Linked DNA regions of Diceros bicornis minor. The main gene of each other region encodes a partner of the protein of the gene in region 2 in a complex. Links are inferred from orthologs where the notes say so. Each region holds a gene or a part of one and is shown on either strand. Other genes may lie near its edges.

Region 1 (8,911 bases), on a different chromosome or scaffold from region 2:
CAGCTATGTGCTATCAGAAGATTTTTGATATTCCTTACTAAACTCAAGGGCAGGTACAATATCTACTTTCCTCACCACTCCCCTCTTCCTAGCACAACGCCCACATAGAACAGGCAGAGAATACGCATTTGCAGGGCTGAGTCTGTGAGCAGACAGCGCCACCTGTTGACCCAAATTTGCCCTTCAGTACCTAAAAAACAAGCCTTAGCTCTCTGCCCACCAACCAGGAAGGTAGATGGTTCTGAAGCTTCCTGAGGGCCTATCCGGTGTCTCTTCACACCAAACTTAGCAATAAAAAAAAAAAAAAAGCTAACATTATTGAGTACTTAACGTGAGAGAGCTAGGCACTTTCCTAAGGGCTTAGCTATTAACACATTTAATTTTCACAACCACTCAATGAGGTAGGTACCTTTATTGCCAATTTATAGGTGGGGTAACTGATGCACAGGGCAGTGAAAACCTCACTCAAGATCAGACAGCTAGAAAATTTCACCCCAGGCGGTCTGGCTTCAACCTGCACTTTTGAGCCCCAAACTCAATACTTCTATTCTGTTTCCTTTACTCCACCCCAATGACCTGGTGAGTTTATCTCCCAGATACTTCCTTCCACCGTGAAGACCCATGTGAAGGGACTGCCATCCCAGCAGCAGTGATGTCAACCAAAATCCCACCTGGAGTGAGAGATCCATACATTCTGAAAGCTGCACAATTCAAGTGCACTCCTCAGGACAGTAATGAGATGTGGCCTCTCCCCAGCGAAATAGCAAATGCAGCAGTCAGCCCCAGCCTCCACGTGATTGCTCCCCTCATGTGCCCTCCACAGGCAACCACCCCTCTGAGCCTCCATTTTCTACTAGGACCTTTAGCCCAGATAGGCAGGTCAGACTGGATGTCATACGAAGAGGAGCGCAGTCCCGATCCAGGCGAGCCTGAACGGCAGTGGCCATCACTCAGTCCCCTCTCTGATCACTTACCAGGCAGGGTCACTCACATCACACAAGAAGCTGGGTCCCCTCACATGTTTCAGTCTTGCAATTTAGAACCAAGAGGTTGGCTACTTCCTTCTTACATTCCATCTACTTTTCACCCTCTCTTCTAAATCATTCCTTTATATCATTTGTGAAAATGCCTGCCTGCCTCCACTAAATTTTAAGTTGATATTTAAACATATATATATAAAATTAATACTCACTGAGCACTTCCTATGCCCCAGTCACTATTCTAAATGCCTTACACATATTAACTCACTTAATCCTCACAGGAACCCTATAATTATCCCCATTCTACAGATGACAAAGCTAAAGCACAGTGCAGTGACATGTTCAGGGTCACACAGCAAGTGGCCACCTGGGGTGCTAACCTAAGCCATCACGCTAGTCTATACTTTTAAACGCTACATCAGACTCCCTCTGCTGGTAGAGGCTGTGTCTGCTGCCTTTACTCCCAAGCGCCAGGCACACGGCTTTGCACACAGTAGGTGTCAACAAACTTGCTTTAATATATATACACACACACATACACAGTCACATTCCAGTGTGACAAATACCCCTTCTTCGACCAGAAGAGAGCTCTACCATACTCCAGTCTCCTGCAGACTCTCCAGAGAGAGCCTAGGCCTGGCAGTCTTCAGAGATGACACCCAGTGCGGGCATTTTTATTAGACAAGTGGGAAGGGGCACGGTGCACCTTGGGGTGTATTCTGTCTGGGGCCTCACGCGGGCCCAGAGCTCTGCTGCACCCTCTTCATCAGCTCTTCATCCTGCATTGACAACTCTGTCAACTTTTTGCCCATCCGCTCATGGATGTCCAGGTACTTGGAGACACACCGGTCCAGGCACACGGACTCGCCCTTGGACAGTTCTGCTTCCTTGTAGTGGGGAGGAACACACTTCCGGTGGCAGGCACTGGTCATTCTAGGGGGAAGGAAGGGCAAGGTCAGGTTAGCAGCATCCCGAGGCGCACCAGGAACTCTCCACCATTCCTGCCCTGCTGTACGGATTCCACCTCCCAAGAAGGTATTGTATATCCTCAATTTGCACCTCAACCATCTTGAAAGTTCCTTGAAAGGAGGAACCTTGTTTGAGCCCATGTTTATGACTAATTAAAGAAGAACCATTAGTTGAGTACTAGCTACGTTCCAGGCATCATGCTAAGAGCTGACATGGATTCTGTTATGCAATCCTTCTAATAACCCTACGAGGCAGGCACGGCCATTACCCCCATTTGACAGATAAGGAACTGAAGGCACAGAGGGCCGCAGGTTCCCATACAGCCGGGAGCTGAACCCAGGTAGTGTGACCTCACAGCCTACATTTAAAAATTATTCCAATATATATCCTCCAAGATAAACCAACTAATCAAGAGAGGCTACCAGAGAGCTTAAGCCAATAAAAATAGCAAACCTTAGTTGACTGCTTGCTATGTGTTGGGCTTGATGCTAAGAGCTTGTCATACGTTTTTACATTTAATATTTATGATGTCCCTACGAGGTAGGTACTATTATCTCCATTTTATAGATGGGGAAACCACCGGTCAAACAGTCCAAGTAACTTGCCCAAGACCATACTGGGGGTGACTGGTGGAGCTACGATTTGTTCCCTCATTTGCCAAATGGTTACGGGACTAGTTTGGAGTCAGAGTGAGGTACTGGTCCTGACATTGCTACTGACCAGCTGTGGACCCTGAGAAAGTCATTGAAGCTCTAGAAGCCTCGATGCCCTCACCTTAAAATGGGACAAGGAAAATTAACCCAGTGGATTAGTTTGAAGATGAAAAAAGATAATGCGTGTAAAATGCTCAGCAAGCACCTGAGGTAGAGACCGGGTTTAAGAAACATGAACTACTAAGTGGGCTGCGGGCTCTTTGTCAACAGGTAAATGCTCAACTGTTCTTGAAGCTAACCAGAGCCTGGACTGGAGCTTCACTTCCCACTCGGCTCCTTTATCGCCAATTCCATCCCAATCTAAATGCTCAACTCGTTCTAGTGACCCCATACTGCGGCTGCATTAATCCTCAACCACGGAAAGTGGGGGTGAGTGGGTGCGGGCAGTGGTAAGCACGGGCCTAGATGGAGGAAAGCATTTTTCAGAAGTCATCCACCTCTGCCCTCTGAATGGGCGACCCAGGATCAATCTCTAAGACAAGGTAGCACAGAGTCGATTTTTACCTGTTGTACATATCAGCCATCATCTCTACCTCCAGCTCCGCCGCCAGCTGCTGGGCCCTGAGCGGATCCATCTCAGCCCTGCACCGTCGAGGAGATCTCCTTCTGGTCTCCTTGTCCTGGGAGCAGACATCACCGTCAGCAACCACCCCTCCCGTTCACTTTCCCATCCTAGAGGCTAGAGGATGCGGGGCAATCACAAGGCATCAGACCGGCAGGGGCCACTGACATCAGTGAGTTCAGCCACCCCATTTCGCAGATGTGGAAACTTAGGCCCGGAAAGGGAACACTGCCTAGCCCAAGGTCACACAGCACGTCAACGGCGGGGCTGAAAATCAAGCCCCGGAGCCCTGACGCCCAGTCCCTCGAGGTCACCTCTACCCAGGAGCAGATCGAAAGACCGGAACCGAACCCTCTAAACCGCTGGCCTGAACCTCTGGGGCGCTGGGAATCCGATCATACGCCAAGCTAACGCGCCCGGGCCCCGGCCCAGGGGCCTCACCCCTGAAAAGGCGGGGCCATCATCAAGGTCACCTTGATGGTCACTCACCACGGCCTGTGGCCGGTCACAATACTCTCGGTGTCCCCAACTTCGCCCAAACACTAGAAATTCACCGGGCGCCCCGGGAGACTAAAACGGAAGCACGTGGGTCACTTCCGGGAGGGAAGTCCCGCCTCTTTGATCCAGACTGGCTTCCGGAATGAAGGACCAAGGAGGCGGCGCTGGGAAATCGGCTACCATAGAGAGCGGCCGGCCGCGACTGAAGGCGAAGGCGATTTGCAAATGCTAGAGGGGACGCCAAAACACCATAGAGGCTTGGGCAGGGCGCAGAGCGCCCGCACTCCCTGTTGTCAAGTCGGCCGGGTTGCCGCGGAAAGGTTTGAGTCTATTGGTTCTGTAGAAAGGGGCCGGATGACAGAGCTCAGTGAACTTCGCCCTCACCTCTCCCTCACCTCCAGAGAGCTGACGCCTGAGCACAAATCAGGCGTGGAGAAGAAGGAACGCCCCCAAGCAGCAGTTCTCAGTTTGTGCTGCATATTAGGGTCACCTGGGACGCTGTAAAAAATCTCGATGCCCAGGCCTCACCTCATACCAGTTAATTCAGAATCTCTGGGAGTAGGACCCAGGTGATTCCTATGTGCAGCCAAGTTTAAGAACCAGTGCTCCAAGGGACTGTGTGAATACAGCTGTGTGTGGGTCACTAAGCTTTCTTTGGGGTTGCAAAGATAAGCAAGGCACAGTTCCTGCTTGCAGAAAGATGAGACGTGTATACAGTGTTTTATTCGACTTCTGTTAGACGCCCTGGGCCATAAAGAGATGAATAGAAGCAATTTTGGCTGCCATTAGAGCTAACCTAGTACATCTGGGTGAGAAAGAAAGAGGGTGCTTGTGAACTCTTCATCTTTCAAGACAATGTATCCCTCGATCTGCACTTCCCCCACAACAAAAAAACCTGCTTCAACCCTTGATTTTTCAAGAGATTTCCCAATAAACGAAATTTAGAAGATGCAGATTAATGATGCAAGGGTACACTGCCCGTTGGAGAAGGTAGGCTGGACACTTTATGTGATTGGTCACCATATGCTTTCCTAATTGCCCAAGAAAGTCCGATTTTCATCACTGGGCCTCATTTCTGCTCTAAGGGCTCATCTTTGTCAAAGTCTGTAACTTGACACTAAAATTGAGGTATAACATTCATACAGCAAAGTGAGTAAAATACATGAATCTTAAGCTTAATTTTTAAAGGTATATTCATTCTTAAAACCACCACTCAGATCAAGATGCAAAATACTTCTAGAACTCTAAAAAGTTATCTGAGGTTCCTTCCCAGTCAACACCCCCTCTCCTGCAGTTAGCAGCTATTCTGACTTCTATCATCTTCAATTAGGTTTGCCTACACTTGAACTTCATGTGAATGGAATTATACATGATTTTCTGTTTCTTGCCTGACTTTAACTCAATGCAGTCTGTAAGATTTCATTCATATTGTTATGCATGTCTGTTATTCATTCTTTCTTATTGCTGTCTAGTGTTTGATTGTATGAATAAGCCACAATTCATTTATCCATTCTCCTGTTGATGGACTTTTGGGTTGTTTCCAGTTTGGGGCTATTATGATAATGCTGCTTTCAATATTATCGTACATATGTTTTAATGGACATATGTTGCCCTGGTTTTTGCTTTTGAGAATATAGTCAACATATGGAATATTAAGAAATTGCATGGAAAAAGGAGACGAGTTCTTACAAGAGGAATGAAAGGTTATGAAAGGTGTTATGAAAGATTACGTACTGTATATCCATTTAAATAACATTCTCAAATGACAAAATTGTAGAGATGGAGAAGAGATTAGTGGTTGCCCGGGGTTAGAGTTAGTGAGGGGAGGAGGGAGGTGTGCCTTTAAAGGGGTAGCCCAAAGGAGATCTTTGTGGTGATGGTGGAGGTGTTCATACAAATCTATGCATGTGATAAAATGTCATAGAACTATACACACCATTCTACCAATGTCAATTTCCTGGCTTTGATAGTGCATATAGTTATGTAAGATTTAACCTTCAGTGGATAAATCTTAAGTAAGATTTAACCTTCAATACCCTCTCTGTGCTATTTATGCAACTTCCTGTAAACCTATAATCATTTCAAAATAAAAAGCTTAACAAATCATTACAAAAAAGATAATGTACTTAAAGCACCCAGTCCATGGCAGACGCTCAATACAAATCATTGTTCTTTTTTTTTTATTTTTAGACTTTTATTAGGGCTAACTTAAAACATACAGAAAAGAGGAGAGAACAGTATGTGGAACTTACACATACCCATCATCAGGATTTAACAATTGTTAATATTTAGCCATATTTTCCTCATCTATTTTTATTTCTAACAGATAAAGTCTTTTTTCCACAATGCCATTTTCAAAATTATGGTAATTTATTAATATAATCTAATGCATATATTCAATTTCTCCCAATTTCTCAAAACTGTCTCTTTTTTAATGTGGCAAGAACACTTAACATGAGATCTACCATCTTAACAAACTTTTAAGTGCACAATACAATATTGTTAACCGTAGGCACAATGTTGTACAGCAGATCTCAAGAACTTATTCGTCTTGAATAACTGAAACTTTACAGTCATTGAACAGCAACTCCATGTTTTCCCCTCCCCTCACCACCTGGGAAATCATTGTTCTTACTGATGATGATGTTATTGTTACCATCTACTATGAGACTGTATCTTTTCCTTCCTATATTTATACAGTTGGAGATTTGAGGACCTTTTAAGTAGGAGTCTCCAATTGTCCCTGTTAAGTTTCTTCTTGTAAAAGACAGTTTATACAGCCCCAGCCTTCCAAGATCTCTTTGGAATCCAGATACATCATCCAAAACTGCTGACCTCTGTCAGGACCATGCTGAAGCTCTGGTCCCTCATTCTATGCTGTGTTCTCCCCATTCCCAGCCTCCCAACCTCCCAGAGGGGGATTGTGTATTTGTTACTCACCATGAGTCAGTCTTATCCTCTTGGGTGAGACCATACCCCAGAGGAAGGGATGGAGCGTTGTCACCTAGGATCGCATATGGGCCCTGACCACTCATGAGAGACAGCCTAGGTGGACTTCCCTGAGATGAGCAGGAGATGAGAGAATAAGAACACCATTGGCTGGAACAGAATGGTTATTCTATTAGCTAGAAAAGAAGGCTGGCACGGTCTTAATCACTGTCATCCACTATTACCATTCGCATCTCTTCTCCTCACCTGCCCTGCTGATGCTGTGGTCCAAGCCACCACCATCTTGCTGGGTTACTGCAGTAGTCTCCTGACTGGTTTCTCCACCTCAGTTCATGCCGGGCCATGACAAAAAAATACGAGGTGAGGCTGGAACAGGGACATAGGGGTGGGGCAGGGGACCTTTCCCCAGGGCAGTAGTGCTGGGGAGGGTCTGAGTGGTACAAAGCCCAGAGGGAAGGAGACTCAGAGGGGCAAAGTCCAGGCCCCCTGGCCTGAGGCTCACCAAGGCCTGCTCTGGGCCCCACTTGCCCACAGCACGTGGACATCCAGAACTTTTCCTCAAGCTGGAGCAGTGGCATGGCCTTCTGCGCCCTCATCCACAAATTCTTCCCCAGTGCCTTTGACTACTCTGTGCTGGACCCCATGTAGCGCCGGCACAACTTCACCCGGGCCTTCTCCACGGCAGAGTAAGCCAGAGCCATGGATGGCAGAGCTGGGTGGGAGCTCGGGGGCCCTCTAAGGAGAGTGCTGGATTCAAAGGGGTCAGATAGTGGGGTGGTCAGATAGAACAGCAGGCCAGAGAGATGTGTGGAAAAGCTCACCAATGTTGGGCAGATAAACTCTAGATGGGTGAAGGAGACATCTGGTAACCATCAATATCGGACTGTTCAACCATTGGTACCCAGACCTGGCTTTCAGATCATCCCAGGCATAGGCCCCAAGTTCCTATTCCATATTTCTATTAGCTATTTTATTTATTCAATATATATTTGTTGAGCACCTCATATGAACCAGGCGATTGGCTAGGCCCTGAGCACATAGCCATGAACATGGTAGCTAAAATTCCTATTCTCATGGAGCTTAGAGTCTAGTGAGAGAGTCAGATACTAAGGAAATGAATAAGGGAATTTTGGATTCCAATAAATATTATGAAGAAAATAAAACAGGCTGAAATAATGGAGAGGAACTGAAGGTCATGGAGACCTCTCTGAGGAAATGAAATTTGAGCTGAGAGTAGAAGAATGAGAAGGAACCCATCTCACAATAAGCAGAAGCAAAAAGGTTACAGTCCTGAGTATGGAAAGGAATCAATTTGTTGAAGGAACAGGAAGGAGGCCAGTATGGCTCAAGTGGTGGGGACCTCGGAAGGCAGTTGGGGGAGTCACAAGCTTTGTCAGTGGTAGGGGTGTCCCTTGCACACATTCTCCAAAAGTAGTACCTTTTTCAGATCACAGGGCATATAGAGAAGGCAAAGATTTATTCTGTTTTTTCAGAGCTAAATCTCAATTCAGTATAAAAATTTGTTCAGAGCCTACTGTGTACCAGTCACTTCAGTTCAAAATAGAACTCAGGTTTGTATTTTCTAGAACTCTAAGCCCAGCGACCCATCAACTTGGGCCATGGCTCTTCTCTTTGCCCCTCCCCGCTCCAAATCTCTCTCCAGTGTGATCCCTGAGACACATCCCCCAAGTCTGCAGCTGTCCCATTCACCCCCTCCTTAGCCCACCCTTCAACAGCTGCTTTTGTCTGAGGAAGAGCAAAAGGGACTATTTAAAGGAGTATGGGGGAATTGGGGGATGAAGGAAGCAGAGGAGGCCTGGCCTGGGCTCTGGAAGGGCAGGGGAGGCCAGAGTGCTGGTGACCATGCTCCAAAGGGGCCTGCAGATGGTTTCCAGGGTTGCCAGGGCCAGGCGAGTACATTGGGAAGAAAGATGACCGTAGGACGGATGCTGCCAGGGTCAGGGAGGGAGGGACGTGCTGTGATTGAAAGGTGCCACCTGTCAGATCTTTATGGGAAATCTGAGCCTCGCAGGCCAGGGGAAAGTGTTGTACCAACAGGATAGTAAACAATGCTCTTCGGTGGCCTAAGGCTCTTGAAGTGGGGGTGGGGTGGGGTGGGAGGGGGAGGAAGGTGGAAGGGGGGCGGGGAAGGAAGAGCTGGGGGCTAGAGGCTGCCCGGCTTAAAGGCAGCCTGGGAGTGAGGCCGCTCAGCTAGAGGAAGGAAACAGCTCCCAAGCCCC
Region 2 (8,949 bases):
GCTTTAGAGTCAGACAGATCTATGTTCCTAGCCCTGCTCCAGCAATTACTAATTATGTGACCTGGAAACACAGATAATTCACAAGGGAAGTTTACTGCAAGGATACACACAAATGTTAATGTAGAAGAATTCTCCCACCAGCAGCACAATATCCCAGGGCCTCATTCCCATCTCTGGGAATTGGTAAATTCAAAAGATGGTTTACTTGCATTTATACTTTCCAAGGACAGAATTTTATTGGGTAGACATGAAGCCAGTCAATAGGAAAGTTCCTGCTCAGCAACTTTTACGTTCCTAATAAATTTTTCTGTTCAAGAGACAGCAGCTAAGGAGGCAAAAAGCTGATTGCAACCACTCTTCTTAATAGGTAACTGTATAAGATGGGCTTCTGGTACATTCTGGATTCTTGCTTCCTCATCTGTCAAGTGGGGATAATACCTCTTACTTATAGTTTTGTTGTAAAGATTAACTAAGATAAAGCATAACATATACCAACATCAGAACCTATACAAACTGGGTGCTCAATAGGTATTACTTTGAGAGGCAGCCTAGTGTAGTAAAAAGCACATGGATTTTAAAGTCAGATCTGCATTTTAATACAGAGTCTGCTACTGGAGAATTTCACCTCCCTGATCCGTAGAGAAGAGAGAACATCTGCTTTGTGGGTGGTCATAAGGAGTTTTTGATTATTCTGGGAACTAATGTCTAAGAGCTTCCATTTCCTCTGTAAAAAATGAAACGTGTTCACCTGATGGGGGATAGTTGAGGGTGAGGTGGAGGATTAAGGAGAGCAGTGAAGGTGTAAAATCACTGCCATGTTGATTAGGAGAGGGAATAGACCAGGAACTCATACAGGGTTGCTTGTTGGTAGTGAGGGCTTGGTTGGGGTTGCAGACCTTGAACATTTAGTGGCATTCATTACACAGCTGTGTTTTCCTCTAACGGCTTGAATGAGGAATAGAAAAGATAAAACAGCTGAAATGACACAAAAAGGACACAAGGGTGGCAAGAAAATGTGTTGATGGAGTGCCATTCAGACTGCTAAGTACAGAAGTAAACTCCACAAGAGGGCCAATAATGAGAAAAGAATGTAGAAGATGGAATTAGAAATCACAGAATGGGTACAGTGGGAACAAGGTGGGGTAGAAGTTAGGGGAGCTAGAATTAGATTACAGACAAGCAGTGAGACATTAAGGTAATATTAAAGAGGTCCCAAAGATTTCGCTTTATCCTTGTTTTTTCCCATAACCACCACCATCTATTTCTCCCTTAGATTTCTCTCCTTCAAGTCTGACTGTATTACAGAATACAGTCCCCCAAGTTTTCCCTTTTCTGACTGCCCCTGAAGACAAGGCATATAGACCTTCTTTGTTTAAAGGTTTTACTGCTCATCCAGGGAAGACACAAAATAGTAACAAAGTAACAACTTGAAGAAATGGTGGAAGTTCCGGAAAACCCCAAAATTCTTACAGGTTTCATCTCTGTCCTGGGGCTACTGACTTCCCAGAAGGTAGTGCCTAAAAGCCCTGTGGTTTCTTGATCTGTTGTCCTTAGATACTGCCTCCTTTCCCTAAATCTGGCAAAATTCCTTCTTGTAAGACACAGTCCATGAAAAAACAGTTATGAAGGAACGCATATCTGGCTCAAAAGTGGGCCGTTTAAGTCAGAGAGGTTTAAGTTAAGGACAACTAGAGAGAGCTCCCATTTTCTCTGTCTTCTGGGCAGAAACCAACTTCCTGTTGCTATTATTAACCTTAAAACTATACCCACAGACCTTGCTTTAACCAGCTGCCTGGGAATGCTGAGGTTTTCCTTCCAGACATAGAAGGCAATTTCCCACCTGCCAGGGCTGAAGCCAGCAGATATGCACTAACTGACAAAACAAAGCATGGTCCCAATAAAGTGGGCAAAGCTTCCCTGCCCAGAATATAAATGAAACAGAGTAAAAGCGGGTTTATTGGCTCCAGGAAAAGGAGCAATGGCACCCAGCTCTCAAGCAACTCTCTCTCTATACAGGCCGCACCCAGCCCAAGGTCTACTGGCTCCTTCAATTTGAGGGTCCATCAAGCGCCTCCCTTCCTGGGGTTGGGGATGGCTAGCTGCCTGATGGCGAGGTTCCGGGCTGTTCAGCAGCAACACCTGGCACAGCTGAGGCAGCCTCGTAGTCTGCGATGCGGCGCTGTACCAGAGCAGGCATGAGTTGCACGTAAGCGGCCATGAGGCGGTGGTTGGAATGGATCAGCTTCCCAGCACAGCTGTGCAGACATGCCTCCTGGAAGGAAGACAGGGTGGAAGTAGAGGCCAAAGGTGTCCTGTCAGGTCCGTCTCCTTCCTTCCCATCCCCAGCCTAGGAGCAAGGGGTCGTGGAAAGGCCAGGGCCAGAGATGGGGGAAGTGAGGGAAGGAGGGAGCAGCCTACCCTCTCTACTCAGGTCCCCACCTCCTCAGCATCCAGAGCTCGGTGGTGCAGGCTGGGCACGCAGCGCTGGAAGCAGAGTTCCGTCATGCGATTGTAGACCAACAGGAAGTCCCGTAACTGGGAGAAAAGGAGACCAAGAACTCAGAGACAAGGGGGCCCGCATCTCAATTCAAGCCGCGCCGCCCACGGTTTCCCAGCACCGAGCACCACAGCCCGACGTTTCCAGCCCTCGGACCCCTGGCTCTTTGGGGTTCCCGCCACGCGGACGTGGATGCCAGCTGAAAGTATACCCCCTCAGCGACTGAGCTCCCACTCACGTTTCTCAGCTGTTGCTGCTGCTGCTGCTGCTCCATCACGCCGCCGGCGCGCGGCTACGTCACTTCCGTTACAGCTTCTCGGTAACGCCCCGGAAGTAAGCTCTCGTAGCTCCCCAAGGAATGAGGAGTTGGCTCAAGGATCGCCCTGCCCCCGGCTGCCAACGTCACCTCCGCCCTTATAATCTGCGACGTGGCCGGCTTCTTCTGCCCGGGAGAGGACGTCACTTCCGCCGAGTCCCTGACCTGCTGCTAGGATCGCGACGGGAACTGGAACCCGAGGTCCCCGCGCCGCCCGGGCCTGGCGCCCTGAGGGGAAGAGCGGCCCGGCCCGAGGTGAGAGGGACGTACTTGGGCAAGGGGAAGTTGAAAGCACAAGCCTGTCCTGAGGGCAAGGTGCCTCTGAGCCCTGAGGAAGGATGAGGGCACACCTGATGCCCAGGTGTATGGGGGGGGCGGGCATTCACACACCTGGAGCGACATAACTGACTTTGAAAGGGATCACCTATATCCTGGGAAAAAGAGGCTTTTCTCAGAGGCCAAGAACAGATACCAACTGATTCAATTAAGGCCTGGGTGTAGGGCAGGAGGTGCATGGCATGGAGGAGGGGGAGACCACCTGAAGGAAAGGGGAACAAACACTAAAAGAGTGTGAAAGGCCAAGCAATGGAGAACATACCTGAATGGGGGTTAGGCACCTGAGCTCTGGAAAGGGGTTCTTCTCCTCATGGGGGGAAACACCTGCATGGGGATAAGCTCCAAGAAAGCACAGACTTTGTCTGTCTCGTTCGCTACTGTATTTCCGTTGCCTCAAATAGTGCATGACACATAGTATGCACTCATTAAATGTCTGTTGGATGATTGAATGCATGAATGATCAATAGAGTCCTGGTGGGGTTGGGAGTCATGAGAAGACACCTGAGGCCTGAGTATGAATGTGTAAAAATATGCGCCTTGGAGGGGAGAAATACATGCCTGAAGAAAGGAGTAGTGGCCAAACCCCAGAACACTCAAGCCCTGGAACAACCTCTCAAACCTATGGAATGGCAGGGGATACCTTCCTCTTCTGTAGTACTGGCCAGTTTCCAGAACTGTCTCTGTTGGGCTTTGCAGGGCGCTGGGGTGGAGACTTTGACTCCAGTCCCTTCCCTAGCCATGACGGACGGGATCCTAGGGAAGGCAGCCACCATGGAGATCCCCATCCATGGCAACGGCGAAGCTGGGCAGCTTCCTGAGGATGATGGGCTGGAGCAGGTGCTTCTGTTTGCTTCTTCTCCGTAATATTTCAATTTAGGAATCCTAATTTATAAACCCTGGGCTCTGACCCCCTATTCCAGTAGGCTTCCCCTAACTTATCTAACTCCCTTCAATCTTTTTATAAATCTTCATTCTGATTCTGTGCAGACTTCCCTTGTGCACTCTCTCTATGATGCTTCAATCCAAGCTTATTCTCATCCCCAAAATGCTTCAGCTGCCCTTATGTTCCTGAAGCCCCCCTCTTCTCTGGCCTATAGGACCTCCAGCAAGTGATGGTGTCAGGACCCAATCTCAATGAAACCAGCATTGTGTCTGGTGGCTATGGGGGCTCTGGTGATGGACTCATCCCCACAGGTATGAATGATCAGAACAGGCCAAGAAGCTTGAGTGGAGAGGGGGAGAGGAATGGTTCTGGGGAGTGTAGTATATATCTAAGAAAGCTTGAATTATGTCCAGAGATCTTGGGAACCTCTGCTAGTATGAACCCTATGGACTCTCCTCAGCCCAAGGCCAGTTACCAGTGTTGTTCAGCTACTCCCACTTGCCATTTAGCCCCTGAGATGCGCCCATTTGTCCTTTCTCTGCTGCCACCACTTGAGTCAAGTTAAGAACTCTGTTTCACAGGAGTTCCCCGTGCTCTGGAGCATGAGGCTGATTTGGAACTCTGTGAGCTTCTCAGAGTTTTACGTTAGACTCTAAAATTTAGAGGAACAAACAGCGCTGAATCTCTCACTGACTAGGATTCCACATGAGCGTGTCAACCAGGTTTCCTGTTATCAAGACCCACCATCCTTGACCTGCCACCCCATACTCAGCATATTTTCTTTTGTTTCCTCTGCCCCTGTACACCAGCAACTCCCTCTCCCCTCCCCATCCAATCTCCACCACCTCAGAAGGAGGCCAGATATATATTGGGATTTGGGTCTCAGGGCCCGAGATATGAGTTCCTCCTAGTGAGTAGGTGAATCTAATTGTGTCTAGCTTCCACTCCTTCAAAGAAGCTGTTTTCATGTGCTGGGAGGGAAGTGTGGGTGGAGCCACAGAGGTGTCTGGTTGTACCCTTGGTCCTTTAGGGTCTGGCCGCCATCCATCTCACAGTGCCACTCCTGCTGGCCCTGGAGATGAGGTGGCTCGGGGCATCGCTGGAGAGAAGTTTGACATTGTCAAGAAATGGGGCATCAACACATATAAGGTGGGATTCAAGCCCCTCTCCCTTCCCCCAAAACTCCCCCTGAGTACCTTTTCCCCACCTTCCAGATCCTAATATCCCATCTGTGGCTAAGACGAGGAGCCTGGGGATGCTGGGGTAGATACCTGTTGGGGAGGCAGGGTGCTAGGGTCTCTGACCTATTCCCCAACTTCCCATTCAGTGCACAAAGCAGCTGTTATCAGAGCGATTTGGCCGAGGCTCCCGGACTGTGGACCTGGAGCTAGAGCTGCAGATTGAGTTGCTGCGTGAGACAAAGCGCAAGTATGAGAGTGTCCTGCAGCTGGGCCGGGCACTGACAGCCCACCTCTACAGCCTGCTGCAGACCCAGCATGCACTAGGTGATGCCTTTGCTGACCTCAGCCAGAAGTCCCCAGAGCTTCAGGTGCCTCAGCCAGGCCAAAGAGGGTGGGGGGGACTGGGCCCAGGCCCTCCTAGGCAGTCTCCCCTCAGCCTCCCTCCCTCACTCCCTCCCTGCAGCCCAGAGGGAGAACCCCTCCAGGGTGGGCCCAGCCCTACCCCCAACAGCACTCACCTGTGGAGTCAGCCTAAGGGTTTGTACAGAGGTCCAGAAGTCGGAGTGGGTGGGGGAGGCAGCACATTAGGTGCCCCACAAGTAACCCTTCTCTGCATAGGTGAGAATGCCTTCGGTGCTCAGCCTAATTGGAGCCCCTCCCTTGCCTGCTGCACTAGCTTTCCCTGTTCTAGTCCTGTGAACTTATCTGAGAACCCCAACCCGACATTCCTACCCTAGGTATCCCCAGGGTGGCCCCACTAACTTTCTGGCTAAGAGCCTTGCTGGAGGCAGTCCTTGACTGTTCCAGTTTCCATGGCTGTTTCCTCCCTGGGGAGGAGGGGAATGAAGGGCTCTACAGTTCTGGTCAGGTAGGGACTGTTACTCAAGGCCTGCCCCCTCCCTTCTGCCCTCAGGAGGAATTTGGCTACAATGCGGAAACGCAGAAGCTGCTGTGCAAGAATGGAGAGACACTGCTAGGGGCTGTGAACTTCTTTGTCTCTAGCATCAACACATTGGTGACCAAGACCATGGAAGACACACTCATGACTGTCAAACAGTATGAGGCTGCCAGGTGTGGGCACTGGCAGGGCCTAGGGTTTGGGGAGTTGGCTGGCATGGGTGGAAGTTTGAGCTTTAAGGGCATAAGAATTGAAGAATGAAAGAAGAGTGTGTGGAGGACAAAGGGGTGGAGACCAGCCTATATCACCTCCTCCCCAGGCTGGAATATGATGCCTACCGAACAGACTTAGAGGAGCTGAGCCTAGGCCCTCGGGATGCAGCGACCCGTGGTCGACTCGAGAGTGCCCAGGCCACTTTCCAGGCCCATCGGGACAAATATGAGAAGCTGCGGGGAGATGTGGCCATCAAGCTCAAGTTCCTGGAAGAAAACAAGGTGCCAACCCCACCCCTTTGACCCAGCCCACCTTTCTGTCTGTAACATTGACCTTTTCCCCAGACCCTCCCCATCACTGGATGGGGAAATGCAGCCTGGCTAAGGAGTGGGATCTTCCCCTAGGCCCCTCAGCCCCTGGTCCTTTCTGATCACCCTCCCTCTGATCCCTGGCCCTATTCTGTTGGAGGATTTGGCTGCTGATCCCAGGAATGTAACTGGGAGAAATCATCCTCTGAGTTGGGGTACCAGAACCCCAGGTCCAGTAGATCAAGTCAGGTTTCTCCCATCGGATTGACCCTTAACTTTTGACTCCCTTGGAGTTCAGCCCCCACCCCAAAAGCACCATCAGAGCAGAGTCCATGTGCCCCTAGTCTGGGCTCAGGCTCGTAGTCCCTCAAGAAGGGCATTTGAGTCCATTCTCAGCTGGCTCTGCTGGACCCCCAGATCAAGGTGATGCACAAGCAGCTGCTGCTCTTCCACAATGCCGTGTCAGCCTACTTTGCTGGGAACCAGAAACAACTGGAGCAGACCCTGCAGCAGTTCAACATCAAGCTGCGGCCTCCTGGAGCTGAGAAGCCCTCCTGGCTAGAGGAGCAGTGAGCTGCTCCCAGCCCAACCTGGCTATCAAGAAGGACATTGGGAGGGGCAGTCCTAGGGTGGGGGAGATTGGACATGGGACATTCCTTGCCACCTGCCCTCTGGCTTGGGTTCCCTTTCCCTGGCTGGGGCCTGACACCAGTTTTGCCCACACTGCTGTGGGTACGGAGGGGGCCTGCAGGCCCAGCAGCTGCTGCCCTGTCCTTTATCTTCCTGGCCACTGGGCTTCATTCCCAGATCTTTTTCTTCTACTCCACAGCCAAAGGCTGTGACAAAATCACTCCCTGGCCAATGGCATCACTCCTCAGGCCTATCCCTAGCTCCTGGGGGTGTGCCCTTTGACCAATGGCAGAGCCTCAAAAGGCCCTGTCAGCCAATGGCAGCTCTTCTTGGGCTCCCCTGGGCCAATGATGTTGCCTCCAGTACCCTTTGTCCCTCCTCTATGCGTGTCCATTGCAGAGAAAGGGACAGGGACCAAAGGGGTGGGGATAATGGGGAGTCCCATTTCTGGCCCTGCATCTGAATGGGCCTCCCCTCATCTACCCACCCAGTTTAATTGTGCTTAGAGCCCTGGAAGATTGGGCCCTAGCACTAGGAATAAACCTTTCATAAAAGCAGGCCCAGTGAGGTCAATTTGTGGGGGACTCTAGGAGGGTGGGCTAGGTGGAAAAATGCTCAGTCTAATCATACACCAAAATCCTATCGAGTTGGAAGAGCTGAGGCCAGAAGCTGAAGTCACATGTTTCAGGAACAGTCTGAGGGCTCATTCCTCCCCCAGCCCAGTTGCAGCCAACGCTTTATTTGCCTTTTAGGCCAGCACCAAGATAGCTATGGATCTTAAAAGCACAGGGCCCAGAGGGGGTTGGGCCCGCTGACCTTCATCATCCATTCATTCATACAGCAAATATTTACTGAGTGCTTTTATTTGCCAAGCACTGCGCTAGACCCTAGGGAAACATCAGTGGATAAGACACGGTCCCTGCCCACAGTGCTTATGGCCTAGTGGGGGATAGAGACAAGTAACCAGGCAACTACCATACAGTGACAAGTACTAGGCTCCAGAAGTGCAGGGAGCTGTGGGAGCCCAGAGGAGGGCATCTAGCCTAGATTGGGGAGGAGATGTCAGCCTGAAAGCTGAGACCTGATGGTGAGTAGAGGGCAGCCAGGCAAAGAATAGGGGGAAGAGCATCCTAGGCAGAGAGGCCAACATATGTGAAGGCCCTGAGTAGGAATCGGGAGGAATTCCATTTGACTGAAAAGTTGGCTAGAGGATGACTACAGAGGTAAAGTAGTAAGACTTCACGCTGGGCCTTTTCCTGCTGGTTAAGGACTTTTGCCTTCTGGAGAAAGGGGAGCTGTGAAGCCTTTTCAGCAGAAGTTGGACAGTATGGGGGAAGTCTAGGGTTGAGGAAAGTAGCCCTGAGAGGCTTCAAGTAGTGTCATACAGAGCCCGGTCCTTATGTTGGGTAGTCTAGTAGCCCTGGAGCCAAAGTCCAAAGCAAGTGTGAAGCCTGTCTGAGGCTCATTCACAAGTACCGGAGCACCCGTGCTGGAACTCAGGCCGATGAGGGGTCGAGGCAGTTCCCAGTTCCCCTGTGTTGAGCTCAAATCTGAACGTTGTGTGAAGCAAGAAAGCTCCTCAACAGGACTTTGATTTAGTCAGGACCCAGGTACCATCACCATCACCTCATGGCCAAAGAGGGCTCTAGATTTTTTCAACATTCTCCCCTACCTCTTTGGAGGGCTG

The links.
Region 1: the proteins of TIMM10B (region 2) and TIMM10 are in contact, whole or in part, in a cryo-EM structure (PDB 7CGP), measured with the Homo sapiens proteins. The link is inferred for Diceros bicornis minor from reciprocal best matches to the Homo sapiens genes TIMM10B and TIMM10. Residues at the interface, in NP_036324.1 of Homo sapiens: Gln7, Leu11, Leu14, Arg15, Phe17, Leu18, Leu19, Tyr21, Asn22, Arg23, Met24, Thr25, Glu26, Cys28, Phe29, Val33, Pro34, Ser35, Leu36, His37, His38, Arg39, Leu41, Glu46, Leu49, His50, Ala53, Gly54, Ile57, His61; in NP_036588.1 of Homo sapiens: Ala6, Leu9, Leu13, Glu16, Met17, Asp20, Met21, Arg24, Ala28, Lys32, Cys50, Asp52, Arg53, Cys54, Ser56, Lys57, Tyr58, Asp60, Ile61, His62, Glu63, Arg64, Met65, Gly66, Lys68, Leu69, Leu72, Asp76.

Annotation. Positions count from the first base shown.
Region 1 is NC_080770.1:16,394,363-16,403,273, reverse strand, and holds TIMM10 (mitochondrial import inner membrane translocase subunit Tim10), read right to left. Parts: upstream 3,812-8,911; 5' UTR 3,714-3,811; intron 3,283-3,713; 5' UTR 3,238-3,282; coding exon 3,167-3,237; intron 1,914-3,166; coding exon 1,712-1,913; 3' UTR 1,479-1,711; downstream 1-1,478.
Region 2 is NC_080746.1:64,545,436-64,554,384, reverse strand, and holds TIMM10B (mitochondrial import inner membrane translocase subunit Tim10 B), read right to left. Parts: upstream 2,808-8,949; 5' UTR 2,772-2,807; coding exon 2,736-2,771; intron 2,536-2,735; coding exon 2,440-2,535; intron 2,273-2,439; coding exon 2,096-2,272; 3' UTR 1,365-2,095; downstream 1-1,364. Other genes in the region: ARFIP2 (arfaptin-2), read left to right, coding at 3,888-3,986, 4,247-4,343, 5,063-5,181, 5,360-5,581, 6,127-6,284, 6,431-6,605, 7,050-7,205. UniProt on the Homo sapiens protein: Component of the TIM22 complex, a complex that mediates the import and insertion of multi-pass transmembrane proteins into the mitochondrial inner membrane.